Mus musculus: one gene and its partners. The protein of the gene in region 2 purifies or fractionates together with the protein of the main gene of each other region. This does not show direct contact. Links are inferred from orthologs where the notes say so. Each region holds a gene or a part of one and is shown on either strand. Other genes may lie near its edges.

Region 1 (5,057 bases), on a different chromosome or scaffold from region 2:
AGGACCCAAGTTGGCAGTTCACAGCCAACAGTGGGGGTCTTATTCCCTCTTCTGACCTCTCAGGGTACCTCTACTCAAACACACCAACTCTCTCTCTCATACACACACATACACACACACACACACACACACACACACACACACACACAGTTTAAAATAAACCAAATCACACACACACACACACGGTTTAAAATAAACCAAATCTGTTGAGGTTTGGTCTGTGGCTATGAATTGTAATACTAAATACGGGACCCCAACATCGGGTTGCCCCGTATGAGGAGATCCTCACATGCATCAAGTGATGATGCTATGGAACCTTGCCCCCCAAGTTATCCCTAATTGGTCAATAAAGATGCCTACAGCCTGCAGCTGGGCAGAAGAGAGAGACAGGCAAGGTTTCCATTCTCAGGACTTGGGGGTCTGAAGCAGAGGCCATGAGGAAAGAGGAGAGAGAGAAATAAAGTCGCCATGGGATAGATGGACCGTGAGAGCATGGCCACAAGGGATGCCCCTTGGAGTAGGAGCAGCCCAGTTGGAACATGGAGAGTCCTATCTCAGGGCCACTGACAGGGGAGCAGACAAAATAGCATAGAGGGCTGGTATCTGCCCAGCTCTAAAGCTTTAAGGCTTATTGCAAATATAAAGGTTTGTGTTTTTATTTGGAAACTAAATGATCTAAGGTGGGTGGAAATCCTCAAATATTAACTACAACACAAATCTTTAAGGTAAGAGGGGGTCTGCAGATAGGTTTGGCAGCTGAGTCAAATAACCATAACATTTGTGAGGCTGAGGCAAAGGGTTAGAAATTTAAAGACAGTATGGGCTACATAGTGGTTTCAAGGTCAGCACAGGTACAGAGCGACTATGTGCCCCCAGACAAACAAAGAAAATTCTGTCTCAAAAAGAATCAACCCTGGCCAGGCGTGGTGGCACACACGGTTAATCTCAGCCCTCGGGAGGCAGAGGAAGGTGGATTTCTGAGTTCGAGGCCAGCCTGGTCTACAGAGTGAGTTCCAGGACAGCCAGGGCTATACAGAGAAACCCTGTCTCAAAAAACAAAAAGAAAAAAAAAGAAAAACAACAAAACCTTGACCTAGCAGTTTCACAGCTAGGAGCCAACACAAGAGTACTGCAGACTCCACTCAGTGAGAGCAGCATGCCTGTCAGAAGGGAGATCTGTGACAATGGACACAGAAAACATGCTCTGTCAGGCGTGTGTGTGTGTGTGTGTGTGTGTGTGTGTGTGTGTGTGTCTAGCCATGTGTGTATGTGTGTGTGTGTGTGTGTATAGCACACATATCTGTATAGTGTATATGTCTATATAGTGTGTGCAGTGTATGTGTATACTGTACAGTTTTTGTGTGTGCATAATGTGTGTGCATGTGCATATGAAGACCAGAAATCAACACTAGTGACCTCCCCTGTAGCTGCCTACCCAATTTTTTAGATAGATCTTTCACTGAACCTGGGGCTCACTGAGTAGGTAGCTGGGCTGTCCTGGCAGCCCATGGCTGGGGTTACAGGTAGAATACTGACACTCAGCTGTCTGTGTGCTGTGGACTCCAGACACCAGGTCCTCACGCCTGCACCACAAGCGCTTTACTAACTGAGCCAGCTCCCAGCTCCAGGCATTAAGTCTGACACTCACCACAGACAGACGAACAAACTCAAAACACACCTTACTGAGAGAAAGCTACAGACTTGGTCACTGCACATTCCACAGCGCTTCAGACAAAGCCTCAGCATGGGCCAGTGGGCTCCGAGGGGAGAGGGGGTGACAGACCTGCCCACAACACAGGGCGCACTCTCTCGGGGAGTGACAACAGTGCTCTGGAATTGGGTAGTGGTTAATGATCGCACACAAGAGTCCATCAAAAACCAAAAAACCACTGCCCTGCGCACAGTTAGCAGATCTGAGCTAGATATGGCGGTACATGACTGTATGGTGAAACTCAGGAGGCAGGAATCACCAAAAGTTCTACACCAGCTAAGGCTACACAGTGAAATCCTACCTCAAAAACAAACAGATAATAGATACTGTATGTCTGTCTAAATTCAGAGGCTAAGAAGCAGGAGAAACAGTTCAAGGTCATGCTCAGCTACCTACTAGTGAGTTCAAGGCCAGCCCAGGCTACACTGGACCACCTCAATAAGCAAATCAAAACAAAAGCAGGCAAGCAATCAGTCTGGGTTCCCTAGTGAGAGCCTAGCTCAAACTCTGAGTTTAAAGCTATTAACTGACCAATTAGGAGACAGGATCTGGCTGTGCTACAAAGTGGTCGTACATTCTTAACCCTGCCTAAGTTTCCCCAGTGCTGCACCCATAACGGCCCTTTAGTCCTTGTCCTCCTGTATGCCAGCCCATCCTCTAGCTCTACCTAGCACATTGGGCCACCATGGAGCCCGCCTTCAATGCTGCTTCTCTGCTTGTTCACAGCCTCCCTTCTCAGAGACTACATACATGTGCATGGGGTACATACATATGTAGACAAAACACCCATCCACATAGAATAAAAGTAACAATCTTGGAAGGATCCTTTGGGACAGCTTGGCCTTGCTTGGCTTACACTGCTTCAAAGGTGAACTTAGGGATGGGTATTTGGTGACCCAGGCAGGATGAGGCAGCTGTGGACGTAGGGGCCTGCAATCCCAGCATTAAATCGGAAGCTGGAGGGTCAGCGCAAGGCCAACCTGGGCTACATGATACCCTGTTTCAAACAAACACACAGAGCAGGCTAGCAGCCAACTCTGGTTGCTGTGATAAGGATGGAGACAGGTAATTTTGCATACAGTTCCCAGGGGCGTTTATTTCTAGGCCACCTACACTTTGATGTGTGGCTTCCCACAGCCTCTACTTGGACAAGCTTTTCTCTGCTCCCAGAGGCTATATTCCTCCCCCACCCAAATATACGACTCAGCCCCCTCCTGCCCCCCCCCATCATAAAAGGCTTTAGAAGCCCAGGCTGCCTAAGACCAACTCTGTCAGAGTTGGCTGCTCCTGGCTGGGTCTCCATGCGCCTTAATTACTGGCTAGCTTAAGACTCCATTAATTAATATTAACTCTTGCTCCTTTGTTCAAAATAAAGTCTTTCTTTTCTCTTTGACACAGGGTCTCACTGTGGAGCCCAGGCTGGCCTCAGACTTGTCCCAGTCCTCCTCCTTCCTACATGTGTCACTACGCCCAGATCAGCCACTGTCAAGAACCCCAGCAGCACCTGTCTACACTGCCAGAAATAGAAATCTCACCCTGGGCACAGCAGCCATGGTGACTTTTCTAAAAGACAACACTGCTCCTGTTATTCAACTGCCTGACAGACACCAGTTACCCCAACTTCCACAGGAAGCAGAGGCAGACTCCCCAAAGTCTCTCCCATGCTCTCTATCCCCCATCCACAGAGAATGCCTGATGGACCACACACCTATACCCAGAGCCTTGACACCTGCTGAGCCTTTTGCACAAGGCACCCAATATCCTCAGGTGACCACTGATTCCTGACTGTTCTACAACATTATCCATCACCCCCTGGAGAATCCCCTCTGACTTGTTAATGAAAGCCTTTTTTCAGAGCTAGGGAGATGGCTCAGTGGTTAAGAGCACTGACTGCTCTTCCAGAGGTCCTGAGTTCCCACATGGTGGCTCACAACCATCTGTAATGGGATCCAATGCCCTCTTCTGGTGTGTCTGAAGACAGCTACAATGTACTCATATAAATAAAATTAAAACAAACAAAAAGCAAACAAAAGGGAGACGTTGTTTCCACGCAGTGTCTTCTGTAGCCTAGGAACCACTGACTATCAGACCATGCCTTGAACTTCTGCTCCTCTTGCCTTCATACGAGGTTTACAGGTGCGCAGGTGGAAGGACCCCAGGGTCCTTTGCAGGCCACAGCTGCAGCCCACCTGTGCATCTTCAGGTACCTTGGAATTACAGACAGGTACCCCGGCACTTGGGAAGGCAAGGTCTCCTGCCACTGCTCTTTGAGAATCAGAGCCATGTTACCAACAGCTCGGCATGTAAACCGCTCAGGAGCCAGCCGGGAAGCTTCCTGAAGTAGTCAGGTGGCACAGCGTCACAATTGACCCGTCTGAAACCCTGCCTGTCCTCACCCAGCAGACACTGGACACCTTCCTGGCTGCAACACTGAGACTGTCCACCTCTGTTGGTGGCACCAGTGTCAGCCATCAGTGCTGCAGGCACAGATGAGGGAACAAGTCAACGTACCCACAGGAGACACTAACACTGTGTCTCTGACACACGACTACCGGGTGGGATGGGTCCTTACACCTTCTAGGCATCCAGGTGACATGAGAGAGACAGAGACTCTGGGGTCTAAAGCCGAGGTGGGAAAACCTAGGAAGGTGCCATAAACAAAGCTGGCTCTCATCTCCTGCTTGTGCCCTTTTGCTGTGGTCCCCAGTGCCTCACCCAGCCACCAGGATTCGGGGAATGTCTGCAGCAAAAGCCTCGCCCATCTCACGGCTGCCCACGTTAGCGATACAGTGCAAGGCCAGGCACATGAAGGTGGGGTTGCGACTGGCCAGGTCATTCTTGATAGCGTTGTTGATGAGCCGGATCAGTTCTGAGTTCGAGTTCACCAGGACTGAGATGAACAGGTACCCCTGTGGGGCAGAGAAGGGACAGCTGGGCACCTGTGGCTAAAGGGCACTAGACCAGCATGCAACAGCGTCTAAGTGGACCCGAGCCCACCTCCCTCTGCCCCTGCCCCTGTCTGGTCTCCTGCACTCACTATCTGCTTCTCCGTGTACTTGTTAGAGCTTAGCAGGTTCACGGCCTCCATATGTCCAAAGTCAATGTCATGGCCAAGCAGGAATATGAAGAGCAGCTTACACACATACTTCTTTTTACTGTAGCCATCCAAGGCCTTGTCCCCTGAGGCAGAGGATGGGAAAGGGAGCCAAGTAAGGAAGCGTCCCCTAAACACCTTGGGCCCTGGATCCCTCCCCAGGCCCTGGGCCAGCAGCTTGCCTTTGAACTTGGAACGGATGTTGGCCAGTTCCTTGTTGATCCTCTTGATCTCAGCCTCTTTGCTCTTGCC
Region 2 (5,057 bases):
CTGGCCCTCTCCTTGGATGGTACAAGATACTACTGATGGAATCAGTGCCCAAGATTGTACACACAGCCTATATGAGCGCCTTACATCAGATGTTAATAGGCAAGAATGACACGACTTGGGTTGGTTTGGTGAATGAAACCAAGCAAGTCAATTTCACCAGGCAGTTTTGCAGCCAGAAGCTGGCAGCTGGTTTGTCAGTCAACAAAGTAATTTTTAAAAAGTTTGTCTGTCCCACAAAGCTTGAATAAAATGAAAACCTTAGAGTCATTTCAAGTGGAAGAGGTAATGTGTGTGGCTGGTCCCACGGACCAGTCTCTCTTACACAGCACTTGATATAGTGTCAAGGAGTCAAGGGCAGTCTTTTTAAGTCTTTGCTTGAAGGAGGCGGATGTGGAGCTCAGAGTGAGCCCTGTTGAGAGAGGCCAGTAACTTTCCCCGACACTTTAGGAGATAGGAGAATGGGTTCTGAGGGTTACCCTCAATGCTTGGTTTGGAGGGCGAGGAAAGCTCCTGGGACCTCACTTGAGGTGCACAGACTTCTCTTTTGACTGTGATGCAAACATGACTCTGGAAGTGGGTTTCTAGTGGGGGAGATGGGGACCAACATGCAGGATTGCTCCGCATGTCAAGTGTGGATAGTAGCCGGGCACGGGGACTGGGAAGCAGGGATGTTTTCATTCTGATATACTCACAGTGCTTTCCTCGCTGTTGTGATGTTTCTCACATCAGTGGGACGCCATCTCTATAGTCCATAAAATTATGTAACTAACCATGGTCTGAGACAAGGGAATCGGGCTCCACCAAGTGTGGTTCCCCACGAAGGCCAACATTACAGTGACATACAGATATCATTGTAGTAGAACTGCACAAACGCTTGTAACAATCACATGGAGACAGTGAACTTCACTGTTCAGGACACCCACAGAGTCACTAGCCTCATCCAGGCTTCCTTCAAAGTGAGAGCATGGAGGAAGTGTGCAAAGTAGTGACATGAGGAGAGGGTGGGTCCAAAGTGCATCATACAAAGAACTGTAGACAAGTCTGAGCTATAGCAAGTAGTACTTGTAGGCTTAGAACAGGAAGGCCTCTCAATCCAGGCCTAGGGTATTAAAGATAATCATGAGGACTGGGAAGCAGGGCAGAAAACATACCCCTAGGTAAAGGTGTGTAAATACAGACCTCTTTGCTTTACAAAGAGTAAACACAAAAACACCGAAATATGGTAACTTTGGCTTGGCAATATATGTCTAAAAGGATTTTGCTGTGTAGGATATGGTAAGGAAGGATTAGGAAAACTCTTCCCTTTGTACTACTAACAGAATGTAAGATCCTACAGTAGACCCTTTTTGTGTGATAACTTTTCAGATCATTTTGAAGTAGTCGGAGCCCAAGGTCTTCCTCCTCTAGAATCTCGGATAGGAAAAGACTTAGTCTTCCTCGTTCCCAAGCAGGAAGACCAAGAGGAACTGGATGGCATGCTGGCGGTCATTTGGAGTCTGTCTTGTCATGAGGTTTGGTGGAGGTCTTAGGAGAAGGCTACTGAACAGGGTAGCTAGAGGGTGGAAGAAAGAAAAGGGGAAGCCCACTGTCAGACATTACCTAAGCAAAACCTCAAGGCTCGGGGTGCAGGGAACAAGAACAGCAGGAGGGAAGGGACTGCCATGTTCCCAAAAATCAAATATGGTACACATTATGCACAATGCATCCAGATTCTGTCCAACAAGCACTCTGCACAGACTCTCTCATGAAGCCCCCTTACCAATCATGTTGGTGTTGATATTGTTGTAGTCAGAGAATTTTAAGAGTTCACGAAGGAATGCCATCAAGTAGCGGAAAACATTTCTATGGCACCTTGGAAGCTGGGAAATGACCTGTTTTTTAGAGACGAGTGTGTAAGAAGGTTAAATGGCTCATAGGGAATGAGACTCCAAAGCTGCCATAAGAACAATTTGTAACCCAACTGTTAGAAGCCCCATTTGTCTGTCACTACCCTCTATTATCATAAGCAGTATTTTACGTGCCAGATTATGACTCTGGAGTAAGTATGGTTTGGTTTCTCTCTATTCAAAGACCAGGCCATGTAGTCAGCACAGAGTCACGTTCACACAGTGCCTCACCAGAAGGAAAGTGTCCATCTGTTATTTTTCCTTTTCCCCTCACAGCAAAGGCATCAGTCAACTTGTTTTTCTCTAAAATGCCACTTGGCGATGATGGGTACCTCCTACCAACACTCACTGATGTGATTCATAGCTAGGCTCAGCCATTGTGGACCACAATCTTTGCAAGATCCAAAACACATCAAGAAGGAGAGAAGGAGGAGGTGGCGGTGGCTCCCAACTGTCATCTACCCTTTCAGCTAATGACAACTAGAACTGCACTTACAATTCATTTTGCAATCTCACTCCAGGGTGAGAAGTATCCACCTCACTATGTTTTTCTGTTAACAGAAATAGGCAAGCTAGAAAATATTCGAAAATAATACTACCTAAATTCAACTTTACTCATTTAGGGGGGGTGGGGCTGGGGAGGGGCCATGTGGAGATCAGAGAACAACTAGTAGGGGTTGATTGTTTTTCTTCCATCACTTGTGTTCTCTGGATCAAACTTAGGTCAATAGGCTTAGTGGCAAGTACCTTTACCCATTGAACCATCTCACTGGCTCCCTCAAGGATCTTAATTTTTAGCTATGGTGTCCTATCATAAATAACCGACCCAGGCCCATTCTATCATAGAGCTTTGTAAAACTGACCGTTTCTCTATGGGAGAATCTGCACTGAGCATATCCTCAGAGCACCAAAACTCACCTGTTTGCAGATCCGAGGATCATGAGCAGAGTCAAGACATCGCTGATACAGCTCATAACAGATGACTGGCTCTGGCAGAGCTTCCAGGAAAATGAGCAGTGCTTCAGCCACAGAATGGTTATTGCCAGCTGAATTACCTTGAGTTAAAGGAAGAGGAACCCAGAAAAAAAGCCACACAGACACCTGTCTGGCTCCCTTCCTCAAGCCTCTACAGGGATGGTTTTTCTCTTCTCTTTCGGCACACACTATCCCTGATTGTGGTTTTATAGTGGTCCAGGTGCTCTGCAGCTGAGTCGGTACAGAATTTCCCAGTCCCTTGGGAGGTTTCACTATAACTAGAGACTTGGAAAACATAGCCTGCACCATGACAGGGTCCACTGGATGGGTTATAAACTAGCTGCCAGTGTTTCCTCTCATTCTTCTTCCTGCCCTCTGAAAGCACATGGCTGGGAAGGTTAGCAGGAACGACCAACTGGCAGAAGAACACTCCTGGTGCTAGGGCTCCTATGTCCAGTGCTCATTAGAATTTGTTGTTAGGTTCCCCTTGATCCCTCTTAGTCTGTTTTGACACAAAGGGAGACTAAACGTTCCTGAAATGTCTTGAGAAAACAAATGGATAGTCACTGACTATCTTAAAATAAGGCAATGGAAAACATCCGGGTAGAAAGACAAGCATCAAGTACAGGGGAGAAAAAACTTTGCCCAAGTATCTGTCCATATTCTCAAGCCCTGGGCAGAAAGGATACGAATTGTCTCAGGAATGCTGGTATCCAGGCAATCAATGATCTGCTGTAACTCCTCCTGCATTCCAGGGGTTTGGAACAAGTCCTCCTAGCAAAGAAGGATGAATGAAGGGGACAAGACAAGATAGCCAGCCCCAGTTCTGAGCTGGTCCAGAAACTAGGAGAGCAACAGGCCAAAAAGTGAAGGGTGGCACATGTATTAACACTTAGGGAAGGAAGTTTGCTCATAGTATTGCTTTCCTTTAGTATTTCTATAATCCATGTGAAATGTTATTTCAAGCAAGAAAATGACCTGTCAGAAAAATGACATTTCACTCTCTACTTGATAAGGCAAGAGACTAGATGGCCAGATCAGGAAGCCCAGTAGTGCACCAAGGAGCCTCTAGGAAACACAGTGTACCCTGCACAAGTGCAGCCATTGACAAATGTGGACAGAATTGGATGAAGGGAAAAGTGTGAATGGCACATTCATGATACAACTTGGCTTCTGAGTTATAGTGCTCTTAGTAGATCTGAGAACATCACCCTTCAATTTGGTCAAAGAAAGTTCTATTTTTAAAAAGAGGAATGAGTTGGGAGTAGCTAGGGTTTTAGCATAGGGTTTAAAAGAAAACCCAGTGTTCTGTTAAAGAAATGGGCTTGAAGTCACTATAATAGTCAGAGTACTCAGTTGTTCAGAGCAAAGCGTATAAGCAAGGCATGGACATTCTCAGTTCTGTTCCTGCCTCTGCCCTCAGACTCAGAGTTAGCTTAGCTTGTATGCTTTAGTGCTCGGACATTATAGCCACATGGAGGCTTCCTGGCATGGTTAAACGCACTATGTGGATATGAAGCTTAATTTCCTATATGATTCATATACACGCTGCAGTTGCAGGGAAGGTTTTCCCTCACTTACCTGGTGACATGCATATTTGAACAAGTGATCTACTAGAAGCCAGATCTCTTTGGGGACTTGAAGGGGTCGCTCACTGGTACCTTCATCCAAGGGTACCATCTGCAGAAGGGATTTCTCCTAACAGATGAAAAGGGATTAGAATCAAAGGGCCTCAGAAGAAAGCATTACATCTCCTTCAAAACCTTCTCGAGTGGATACAATGTGATCTTTGTCTCTTTTTTTAAATTTTTTTATTAGGTATTTTCCTCATCTACATTTCCAATGCTATCCTAAAAGTCCCCCATACCCTACCCCCACTCCCCTACCCACCCATTCCCACATTTTGGCCCTGGCGTTCCCCTGTACTGGGGCATATAAAATTTGCGTGTCTAATGGGCCTCTCTTTGCAGTGATGGCCGACTAGGCCATCTTTTGATACATATGCAGCTAGAGTCAAGAGCTCCAGCTTGAGTCTGGCGCCTTGGACCACTCCTGACACACCCGTGATCTTTGTCTCTTAAGCTTTTGCCTTTTTTTTCCTCATAGGAGACATGCATGCTTAGAAGGCACTCAGTAATGATTGCAGCAGTTAAAACAATCTCCTTCCCAAAATGCTTTATTCAATTAGTAAGCGTT
Region 3 (5,057 bases), on a different chromosome or scaffold from region 2:
TTTCGAAGATCCTAGTTAACAAACTTTCACACATGCAAAATTTCACCGAAATAAATATATTATTTCTCCCATCATTCCCATCTAGCGTTCATGTTTTCATTTAATTTGGGGGGGGGGGGAGATAGAATTTCTACAATTAGGGCAATCACATTTCCTGCTTTCTATTCTAATGCTTAAACTCTCCACCAACATGATTCATACAATTGGAAAGAATAAAGTTGACACCTGGAAGTGGAGGCAGGAGGATCAGGAGTTCAAGGGCATCCTTGGTTACAAGTGAATTTGAGGCCTCTTGAGCTATATGAGACATTGTCTCAAAAAATAGGTGCAGTCTGGGACATCATTTAATCCCAGCACTTTTGAGGAAAAGGCAGGTGAATGGGGGAGGGGGAGGCAGCCTGTTGTACATACTTAAGTTCCAGGCTAGCCAGGGCTACATAGTAAGACCCTGTCTCAAAAAAGAAAGGGGAAAAAAGCCAGGCGTGGCGGCGCACACCTTCAGTCTCAGCACTCAGAGACAGAGCTAGGTGGATCCCTGAGTTCGAGGCCAGCCTGGTCTACAGAGAGAGTTCCAGGACAGCCAGGGATACACAGAGAAACCCTATCTCCAATAGCCAAAAAGAAAAAAGAAAGAAAAAGGTGTGTGCGCCATCAGACTGAGCATGAAGAAACACCAGCACTATTACCAGATCACTGCCTGGGAGGAAGCATGGGCTGCTCTCCATCTCTACCACAGATGAGGGAAAAAAGGGTTGCTGGTGAAGCCACTTCAGGTGGCCTGGGCTGGAGATGAAGCACTAGAGTTTGAGTTCCTTGAACCAATGAAGGTGGTGAAGTCTCTACACAGCACAAAAGCTTCTCTAGGTCACTCATCAGACCTATTACTAGAAAGCAAACCCTGGATGCTGTGCTATTAAGATAGGTCTACAGTGCCCTTGCTGCACACACGTGGCTGCTGAGTAGAATGCAAAGCTCTATTTCCCTTTAATCATAGGAATTAAAACAATACTTATCACCATACAGTTTGATATTACTTCCAATAAGTACAATATTTATTAAACATATCTTCAGTTTTGTTACATAGTGTGCAACAAATTACAATATTCTGCAGCCACAAATTATATGCAGAGTATGAAGAAACTATTAATCAGATAGTGTAATCTTTCCATTTATAACTCTACCAGGAAGAACTAGCAAATCAGATCTTACATATAACGTCTCACTAAACTTTATGCGTGGAAACTGACAGACACTGGTTGTGCTGTGTGATACAAAATGGCTGAACTTCATCTTCAGAAGACTAAACCCAACATCTAAACATGCCAATATAAACATCAAAACAAAATATATTCTAACCAACCACGGGAAACGATCTGGTATCAGGAAAGCAACAAGGATTACACACATTATTTTATAAACCAGCACACAAAGGTTTAAAACAGTTCTGAAAATGAAGTTAGCGGTCTTGAGTCAAGGGAATAAAAAAAAAAGTCAGTATTGACCATTTACAATCTCTGACCTTGTGGAAACGGTAAGAATCTGTTGTAGTGCAGCTACATACAGTACAATTCAGGCAATTTTGTTTTTTCACTTGGGTTCAGATTGCGAATTCATTGCTGTGAGAAAAGGACGGAGGCAGATTTTAGCAGCAGCCTCCACCTGACTGCTTGACTGGAGTGCTCTGGATTTTAACATTGGACTTCTCGGCACCACCAGCTGTAGCTCCAGGACCCATTCGCTTTTTAATCTCAGCTGCCATCGTCATGAAAGACTGTTCTACATTCGTTGCGTTCTTAGCACTGGTTTCCAAAAATGGAATTCCAAGGGAATCTGCAAATTCCTGAGAGAATAATAAGGCACAGTGAACAATGGAAAATCCTTCTGACTTAGTCTTCTGAAATGGGAATGGGGGACTAAGCTCACTGGCTTTTACAGGGTGAGGCAGTCCCCATAATTAAATTCAGTGTCAAAGTCAAACCTCATACATACCTTTGCTGTTGTGTAGTCTACTACTTTCTTTGTGGTCAGGTCACATTTGTTCCCTACCAACAACTTGTTGACATTTTCACTGGCGTAGCGATCTATCTCCTGCAGCCACTGTTTAACGTTATTGAAGGACTCCTAGGGAGAGAAGAATGGTGATGCAGTTGCTCGAGGCCACTGCTGCTCTAACTAAGGAAAGAAATCAACTAACTTGAGGTATACACCCCGTCAATGACCCCGTCAATGATAAGAAAGACTCAAAGGCCTGAAGTGAAAAGAGCTTATTTGGAAGGGGAAACAGTTGAAGTTTAATGACAGGCAAGCCCAATTTTAAATTGAAATTTTAAAATATTGTCAAGACCTAGTTTCTGAAACAGTAAAATCCTGTTAAATAAATAAAAGCTGGGTGCAGTGGCACAGCTTTAATTCCAGTACTTGGGAGACAGATACAGACTGAGCTCTTGAGCTCCAGGCCAGCCAGAACTACACTGTGAGATCCTGACTCAAAAACAAACAAACAAAAAACTGGTTATGAAAAACAACAGTATCGCTACTATTATTTGGCCTAGGTGCACCTCAGTGCTGACAATTTGCTGGGCATACAGAAAGCCCTGATCTTAAACCCCACTACAAACAAGATGTGGGATGCGGAAGAGAAATCTTATAAAAAAACAGGTGACAATTTTCCTTGTTTTTTTCACATAAAAATATGCTGGGCATGGTAGTGAATGCCTTTAGTTCCAGTGCTTAGGGGACAGAGGCAGGCAGATCTTTGAGCCCAAGGTCAGGTTTGTCTATAAACAGCCAAGATCACAGGGAAACTTGTCTTGAAGAACAAACAAATTATGGTAATAGATTACATATTTAAAATTAACCAGTTATGCCTGCTTTGGGTGTTTGCTTTACTGAGATGAGGTTTTGCTCTGCTGCCTAGACAGGTCTCAATCTCCTGAGCTCCTGTTTCAGCCTCCCAAGTAGCTGAAGGTACATGACATCATGCTAATGTAGCATTTTCTTTCCCTATTCATATTCGCTTATCTTTTGCTTGTATGGTAAATCTCTTAATTTATCTCCAAATTAACAATATAATTCAGATAGTTCAGATTTAACATTTGCTATAAGAAAATGAGTTGTTTTTATTTCTCGATTAGTAAAAATAAATTTCTAGTCAAAAGTTTCAGGGCTGTTCAAAAGCATTCAAGGGCAGCCTGACCACATAGTGAGTTCAGGTCAGCCAGAACTACACAGTGAGATTGTGTCAAAATCCACACACATACACTACTTTCTACTTTGTTGGTAACATGTAACATTCTCTAGAAACTTACCTGATCTGTCACATCATACACAACTATGATGCCATGGGCTCCTCTGTAATAACTGGAAGTGATTGTTCGAAATCTTTCCTGGCCTGCTGTGTCCCACTATAGAAAACAATCAGAGAAGGCAAACAATTCCATTAAAACATACTTGGGAGAAAGTACAGGAGAAAATTGTAGATTATTAGGATTTGAGATGCCAGCAGTATTTAATGCTTACATTATTAAATTGCAGTATTTAATGCTTACATTATTAAATTGCATTGCAGGTATCAAATATGTTAAAAATCCAGAAGAGAAGATAATGCCTACGGTTTAGCAGGTAGTACTAATACCAAAATTCTAAATTCTTTGAGAACATAAGCTATGCTAGGCTATTCTAGGCTGTTGGTAAAAAATATAGAGTCCAGAGCCCAGAGCTTACTTCATGGCTGCAGTATTTGTCACAGACCAGGCTCGGCCATGCCCTAGGGTAACAAGGAGGTGCTATCTCAGGCTCAGCAAAAATAACGTAAGGAAAATGTTTCTAAACACCTTTAAAATAAAACTCATTTTTCTAAGCGGAGAAGGGGCATGGAGAGATGGCTTAATGGTTAAGAGGATATATTGGTCTTCTAGAGAACCTGAGTTCAATTCCCAGGACCCATACTAAGTGGTTTACCAATGCTTGTAACTCTAGTTTCAAAGGCACCCAGTGCCTCTGGTTTCTTTGGGCACATGCATTCATATACACTTCACTTAATAAAAATATTTTTTAATGGGGAAAAGCAAGCAAGATAGGCCAGCAAAAGCTATGCAAACCTGACAACCAGAAGTCAATCCCTAGAACCCATGATAGAAGGAAGAAACTATAAAAAGTTGTCCTCTGGCCAAATATGGTGTTTAGTGCCTATAGTCCCTGCACTGAGGAGGCAAAAGCAGGGGTGGAACTCTGTGGGTTCAAGACTGTCCTTATCTATACAGCAAGTTCCAGGACAACTAGGGCTATATAGTGAGAGACCCTCTTTCAAACATAAAAATCAGTGAAGACCTGGCCATCATGACTAAACAATAAAACATGAAAGGAAGGGCTGGTGAGATGGCTCAGTGGGTAAGAGCACCCGACTGCTCTTCCGAAGGTCTGAAGTTCAAATCCCAGCAACCACATGGTGGCTCACAACCATCTGTAACAAGATCTGATCTGACGCCCTCTTCTGGAGTGTCTGAAGACAGCTACAGTGTACTTACATGTAATAAATAAATAAATCTTTAAAAAAAAAAAAAAAAAAAAAAAAAAAAAAACATGAAAGGAAAAGACTTAAGAGTACTTGGGAGAAAAAAAAACACAGCCCATCAAGTTGAAATGCAATGGGCTAGACACACAATTTTGCATTTAAATTTTTATAACACCAATTCATGGAATATTCTCATTCTCTCTCTCTCTCTCTCTCTCTCTCTCTCTCTCTCTCTCTCTCTCTCTCTCACACACACACACACACAGAGAGAGAGAGACAGACACATTTTCTTTTTGTGTGTATGTACAGTATGTGTATATAGAGACCTAAGGCTAAAGTCTTCCTGGATTACACTCCACCTTACTGAGGCAAGATCTCTCGGTGAATACAGAGCTCCTGTAACCCAGTGCCTCTGCCTTCCATGGATTGCAGGTGGGTCCCCACAGCTACACAGCATTTTCATGGGTGAATTCTGGTCCTCACATTTACAAGTACTTTATCTACCCGACCATATCTGCAGCCATTTATACCCTTTATACACACA
Region 4 (4,665 bases), on a different chromosome or scaffold from region 2:
TGGGCCCAGAAACCAATGTGTGTGTGTTTTGAGACAGGGTTTCTCTGTATAGCCCTGGCTCTCCTGGAACTCACTCTGTAGGCCAGGCTGGCCTCGAACTCAGAAATTCGCCTGCCTCTGCCTCCCAAGTGCTGGGATTAACAGAAACCAATCTGTAGGGTTCCAGAAATACTGCCCTCTCTGCCACTGTGGGCCCCGGGCCCTGGGATATGGATAACAGGGATGTAATGATGCAAGGCTCTGGAAGTGCTCAGCCAGCAGCCCGGTGTCTGCTTGGCCCTCTCTCAGATGTCACAACCATCCTTGTCCACTGGGACCCCAGGGCCCACAGGTATGCATGCCCAGAGCCCCCTGAGGGATAGGAGGTTCACCTGCATGTAGCGTGGTAGATAATGCTGCTGTGACCACACACAGGACCTGAGACCCTCTCACGTCCCTGCATGTCATCTGTGGTTCTGTCTTTACTGTCTGAGGAACTGTCTAGCTGTCCCACTGCAGCAACCTTGCACTAGGGTCCACCCCTCCACATTGTCCCCAACCTTGGTCACTTTTCTCATAGCAACTATCTGATGGACACTGGGTGACCCCCACAAACATCTCACTGGGCCAAACTAGAGTCTGATCCAAATAGATTGATAACTTGGGGTAGGTACCTATGATCTCAGGCCTGAGTGTTCCGCCATCCCCAGCTGCCCCTTAGAATGTTCCTGACCACACCGTGCCTCAAGATACGTTGGACCTTGCCTACATAACCGTAGTAGGAGGGCAGAGAGGGATGTCAGCATTGACTTTGTCCCCAAGGCCACCTGTCTGTCACTCCAAGGAGTATTTTGATAAGGACACACCTGTGACACTGCCTCTTGGAGCAGCCTCCCCACACCCCCCAATCCTTCTACTTCCCCGATCCTGTGCCCAGGAGGGACTGTAGTCACCAGTGGCCTGACTCAGTTGGCTGTGGCCCCAGGCGATGGGAGGACACGGTATGTACACTCAGCGGCACATGGTCCCCTGACCATAGTGAATTTGAACATGAGTTACACGTGGCTTGCTCAGATCCGAAAGTCCCGGAATTAAGTCCCGGAAGGCACTTGATTTTTCCAGGCTGCCAAGGGAGAGCTCTGGCACGTCCTGAGGCTACATTTGGAAGTCCCTGGGCTTCAACCATCATGCTGGGCTACCCTGGGCCTGCCCCTTCCTTTCCCTTCCCTTGGCTTGGACCCCTTCCCATTTTACATACCTCCTCCGAACTCTCAGGCGACTGGGCCCGGCCCACCTGTCAATCATCTTTTCATCTTTCTTTAGGCCCTGTAGTCCACCATTTATTCCCGAGGTCATCCAGCTGACTCTCCAGCTGTGCGGCCTTGGCAACCTCTATGGACCTCCACCCCCCTACACACACACATACACACACACACACACACACACACACACACACACACACACAAAGATGAGGCTAGCATCTTCCCTAAGAGGTGCTGAGACTGCCTAGCTAGAGGACAACAATCCCTCCTTTCTAGGACCCCGCAAAATATATCAACTGTGGATTCTGCAGGGAGAACAATAATACACCCAGCCATTTCTCGACCGGCTTTTATTTTGGCCCTCATACCCTGTCCATGATTGATAACTCTCCTAGCCCCAGAATCAGCTGGTGTTCACCTTGTGCTTTGGGGAGAGGGAACAACTCTGCCCTTGTCTCCCCCACCTCCTGCCCCGTACCTTTAGAGTTTGTAAGCCCGTCCCAGACTAGAGTCTACACCTCAGCCGTATGACTCCAGTGGGAGAGTTGAGGAGACAGACCAAGTCCCCAGAGGCACCACCTGTGCAGACAGCTGAGCTCAGGAGACAGAGGGCCAAGTCAGGGCCAAGTCAGCTAGGCGCCCGTGTGTCTCCTGCGAGGGCCTGGCTCCCTGGAGACAATGCCACCCCTTGCAGCCAACAGTAACAAAAGTGGCAGGGGTGAGACTGGACTACTTAACTTCACTGGTGGAAGACAGTAGCCTCTGTACTTCAAAGAAAAACCCACAGCCAAGTGCCCTGGCCCCTGAGCCAGCAGAGAGCCAAGAGGCCCTGGCGACAGACAGAAGCACCCATGGGACCCAGCCACCCCACCCCCCAGAGGAGAGGGAGGGGCCAGGGTGAAATCTGTTCATAGGATGCAGCGATTGGAGTGTCCCCTCAGGGCAGGGCACTGAGGAGGACTGTAAACAAGAACCCAGGTGGGGCCGGCTGTCCTGCCCAACCCTCTGGAAGACAGCCAGCACTGTGGTGAGAGAGAAGTAGGCCCAGTCCTGAGGCCCACTGGTCACCTGCAGTGGCTAGGGACAGTGCCTGGGCTCTCCCTGCTGCAGGCATGGAATCAGTCGGAGGCCTGTCTCCTCCAGGTGAAACTGGGAGGAAGCTGGGTCCCAGGCCAGGACCGAGGTCAGGGGAGGCCCTGCTTCTGCCCGGGCTCACCTACAAAGCTGGACACAGTCCTGACTTAGCTGGTTCCAGGCCAGGAGCCTGGGGGACCTATCCAGTTCAAGTCCCACATTCCACCTACTGGTGTAGGCCCACAGCAGCCCAGACAGCAGCTTCCAGGTTCAAGCTTTAGATCCTTGAGAGGCACCAGGTAAACCCTGGGCCCCATGGGCCTGTGGCCAGCTTCGGGGCTGTCAAGGTCACACAGGCCACCCTGGCGCGGAGTTCTCTAGAAACCAGCTCCTTGGGCTCTAGAAGCACCCTCAGGTTCACGTTCCAGATTCTTCTCAGAAGTAAGTGCCTCTGACCCCAGGGGCACAGGTCTCCTGAGTCATATGTCCTATGTCCCCTGGGAGCCTGGATTGCAAACAGGCCATTCTACGGAACGGAATACATGTAATACCTTACACCCACTATGTCCCCTTAGGGCTGGCTGGTCCTGGGTCTGAGTCTCAGCAGAACCAGGATGCCAGGGGACCTCTAAGCTGGCTAGGCCAGCCTGGCCTCCGCGCCACTGGTCCCTAAGGGCCTGCACCTCTAGTCCATATCGCGCATGCAGCTGGGCGAAGGATGCCAAGGGCCCGTTGGCCGCTGAGGCCCTGCGGCGGGGTGGCAGTGGCGGCGGCCGCTGAGGGGCTACCGAGGGCTGCTCGGGCAGCGTGCTCCACACTACCCAGCCGTTCTCCTTGGGTCTCTGGGTCAAAACCGGGCTCGGGTTGGCGGGTAAGGCGTTGGCGGGGCTTCCCTCGCGCATGGCAGCCAGTTGCTGTTCCAGCTCCCGCACCACCAAGCGCAGATAGTGGAAGCTGGCCCGGGACAGTGCCTTCACCCAGCCCTCCAGGGCTGCCTGGCTGTCAGCGGCCAGCACGTACGGCCGGGATCGGCCCCCGGCAAAGCGCACTGCGAAGGCGAACTCCTCCCGGGCATCCACCAGCTCCACCGTGCAGCCCTCCAGCAGGATGACGCCCAGCGGCTCGCGGCTGCCTTCTGCCTCGAAGTAAAAGAGGATATTGCCCCGGAGCACGAACCAGCGCCGGTGCGAGCCGGTCCCACGGCCACCACGCTTGTACAGGAAGCCGGCGTTGTCCACCGGGGCATCGCAGGTTGCGTAGAAGGCCAAGCTGCGCTCGTTGAGCTTCATGGTCACGAGGAGCTGCAACCTGTCCCCTGCGCGGGAGCAGATGTTACTACTAGGATCATCCAGGACTCCCAGGCCACCAGCAGCCTCCTCCCACCACACCCACCCCAAGGCCCCTCAGTGAGCACAGTGAGACAGGACTCAAACCAGGATCTCGCACGGCCATCTGGAGGGCTCCTGCTGCCCTTGACCAGGGAAGGTAGCATTAAGTGTCAGCTCACCAGACATTTTGCATAGGTTAGCTCTATCTAGCAATGACCTTGGGTGGTGTGTGCTGGTTTTATGTTTGCATCTGTGTGTCAGTGTCAGATGGGGAAACAAAGGCACAACCTTTGTCAGCCACCAAGCAAAGGTCACAAAACAAGCTGACTAGAGCCTTTGCTCGTGCCTGGAGATCCCAGGTCTGTGACTCAGCCTTGGTTTGTAGGTCAGGTTGGTGAGAGAGGGAGCTGTAGGGAAGAGCATGAGGGCGCGAGGTGGGGTGGGTGAGGTGAGGGGGAACAACATGGACAGAGGGACAACAGGATAGGGACACCACAGCAAACACAAAGTTAAATCCTCCGGCTGTGGAGAGGGTGACCAGAGGAGGGCAGGAGTGGAGGAAACCCCAGAGTACCGGAGCAACTGTTGGAAAATAACCTAGATAAAATGCAGGCTCAGCCCAGACTGTCAGGGCGGAAGGGACAGGGCGCCCTAACATAGACCTCCCGAAAAGTACACACTGGGGCAGCAGCGGGCAGTAGGGCCTGTCGGGGAGTGGCACGTGGGTTACCAGTGTGGCCACTTGGAGGAGGCAGGCCCTGCACCCGTAGGGTCCCCGTCACAGCCTTGCTTCGTGCAGATGGCTGGCATACTTTTGAAGAGCCTGGAATGTCTGTAGCAGGCACCCCACTAACACCCAGCCCCTCTGCCTGTGCCGTGCTTTACCCTTGGTCTGCAGGGATGAGGTCAGGGTGGTGGCTCTGTAGGGCCAGGCTGCGCCACCTGACCTGGGTGGAGAGAGAAACTGCTGCCAGACAAATACTTAATTTTTGCCACCTCATGCCACCCACGTTACAGTTGGG

What was found.
Region 1: the proteins of Ocrl (region 2) and Ap2a1 purify together in Homo sapiens (affinity purification with mass spectrometry; 3 studies listed by BioGRID and IntAct, counting the BioPlex papers as one, with this or other methods). This does not show direct contact. The link is inferred for Mus musculus from reciprocal best matches to the Homo sapiens genes OCRL and AP2A1.
Region 3: the proteins of Ocrl (region 2) and Rab1a purify together in Homo sapiens (co-immunoprecipitation; 3 studies listed by BioGRID and IntAct, with this or other methods). This does not show direct contact. The link is inferred for Mus musculus from reciprocal best matches to the Homo sapiens genes OCRL and RAB1A.
Region 4: the proteins of Ocrl (region 2) and Pheta1 purify together in Homo sapiens (co-immunoprecipitation; 5 studies listed by BioGRID and IntAct, counting the BioPlex papers as one, with this or other methods). This does not show direct contact. The link is inferred for Mus musculus from reciprocal best matches to the Homo sapiens genes OCRL and PHETA1.

The regions. Positions count from the first base shown.
Region 1 is NC_000073.6:44,911,415-44,916,471, forward strand, and holds part of Ap2a1 (AP-2 complex subunit alpha-1), read right to left. Parts: intron 5,057-5,057; coding exon 4,988-5,056; intron 4,892-4,987; coding exon 4,749-4,891; intron 4,621-4,748; coding exon 4,427-4,620; intron 1-4,426.
Region 2 is NC_000086.7:47,959,955-47,965,011, reverse strand, and holds part of Ocrl (inositol polyphosphate 5-phosphatase OCRL), read right to left. Parts: intron 4,560-5,057; coding exon 4,443-4,559; intron 3,636-4,442; coding exon 3,551-3,635; intron 2,933-3,550; coding exon 2,805-2,932; intron 1,872-2,804; coding exon 1,760-1,871; intron 1,553-1,759; coding exon 1,428-1,552; 3' UTR 1-1,427. UniProt on the Homo sapiens protein: Catalyzes the hydrolysis of the 5-position phosphate of phosphatidylinositol 4,5-bisphosphate (PtdIns(4,5)P2) and phosphatidylinositol-3,4,5-bisphosphate (PtdIns(3,4,5)P3), with the greatest catalytic activity towards PtdIns(4,5)P2.
Region 3 is NC_000077.6:20,221,431-20,226,487, reverse strand, and holds part of Rab1a (ras-related protein Rab-1A), read right to left. Parts: exon of another isoform or gene 4,780-5,057; intron 3,622-4,779; exon of another isoform or gene 3,405-3,621; coding exon 3,309-3,404; intron 2,122-3,308; coding exon 1,990-2,121; intron 1,841-1,989; coding exon 1,643-1,840; 3' UTR 1-1,642. UniProt on the Homo sapiens protein: The small GTPases Rab are key regulators of intracellular membrane trafficking, from the formation of transport vesicles to their fusion with membranes.
Region 4 is NC_000071.6:121,851,516-121,856,180, reverse strand, and holds the end of Pheta1 (sesquipedalian-1), read right to left. Parts: intron 3,631-4,665; 5' UTR 3,605-3,630; coding exon 2,804-3,604; 3' UTR 1,577-2,803; downstream 1-1,576. UniProt on the Homo sapiens protein: Plays a role in endocytic trafficking. Required for receptor recycling from endosomes, both to the trans-Golgi network and the plasma membrane.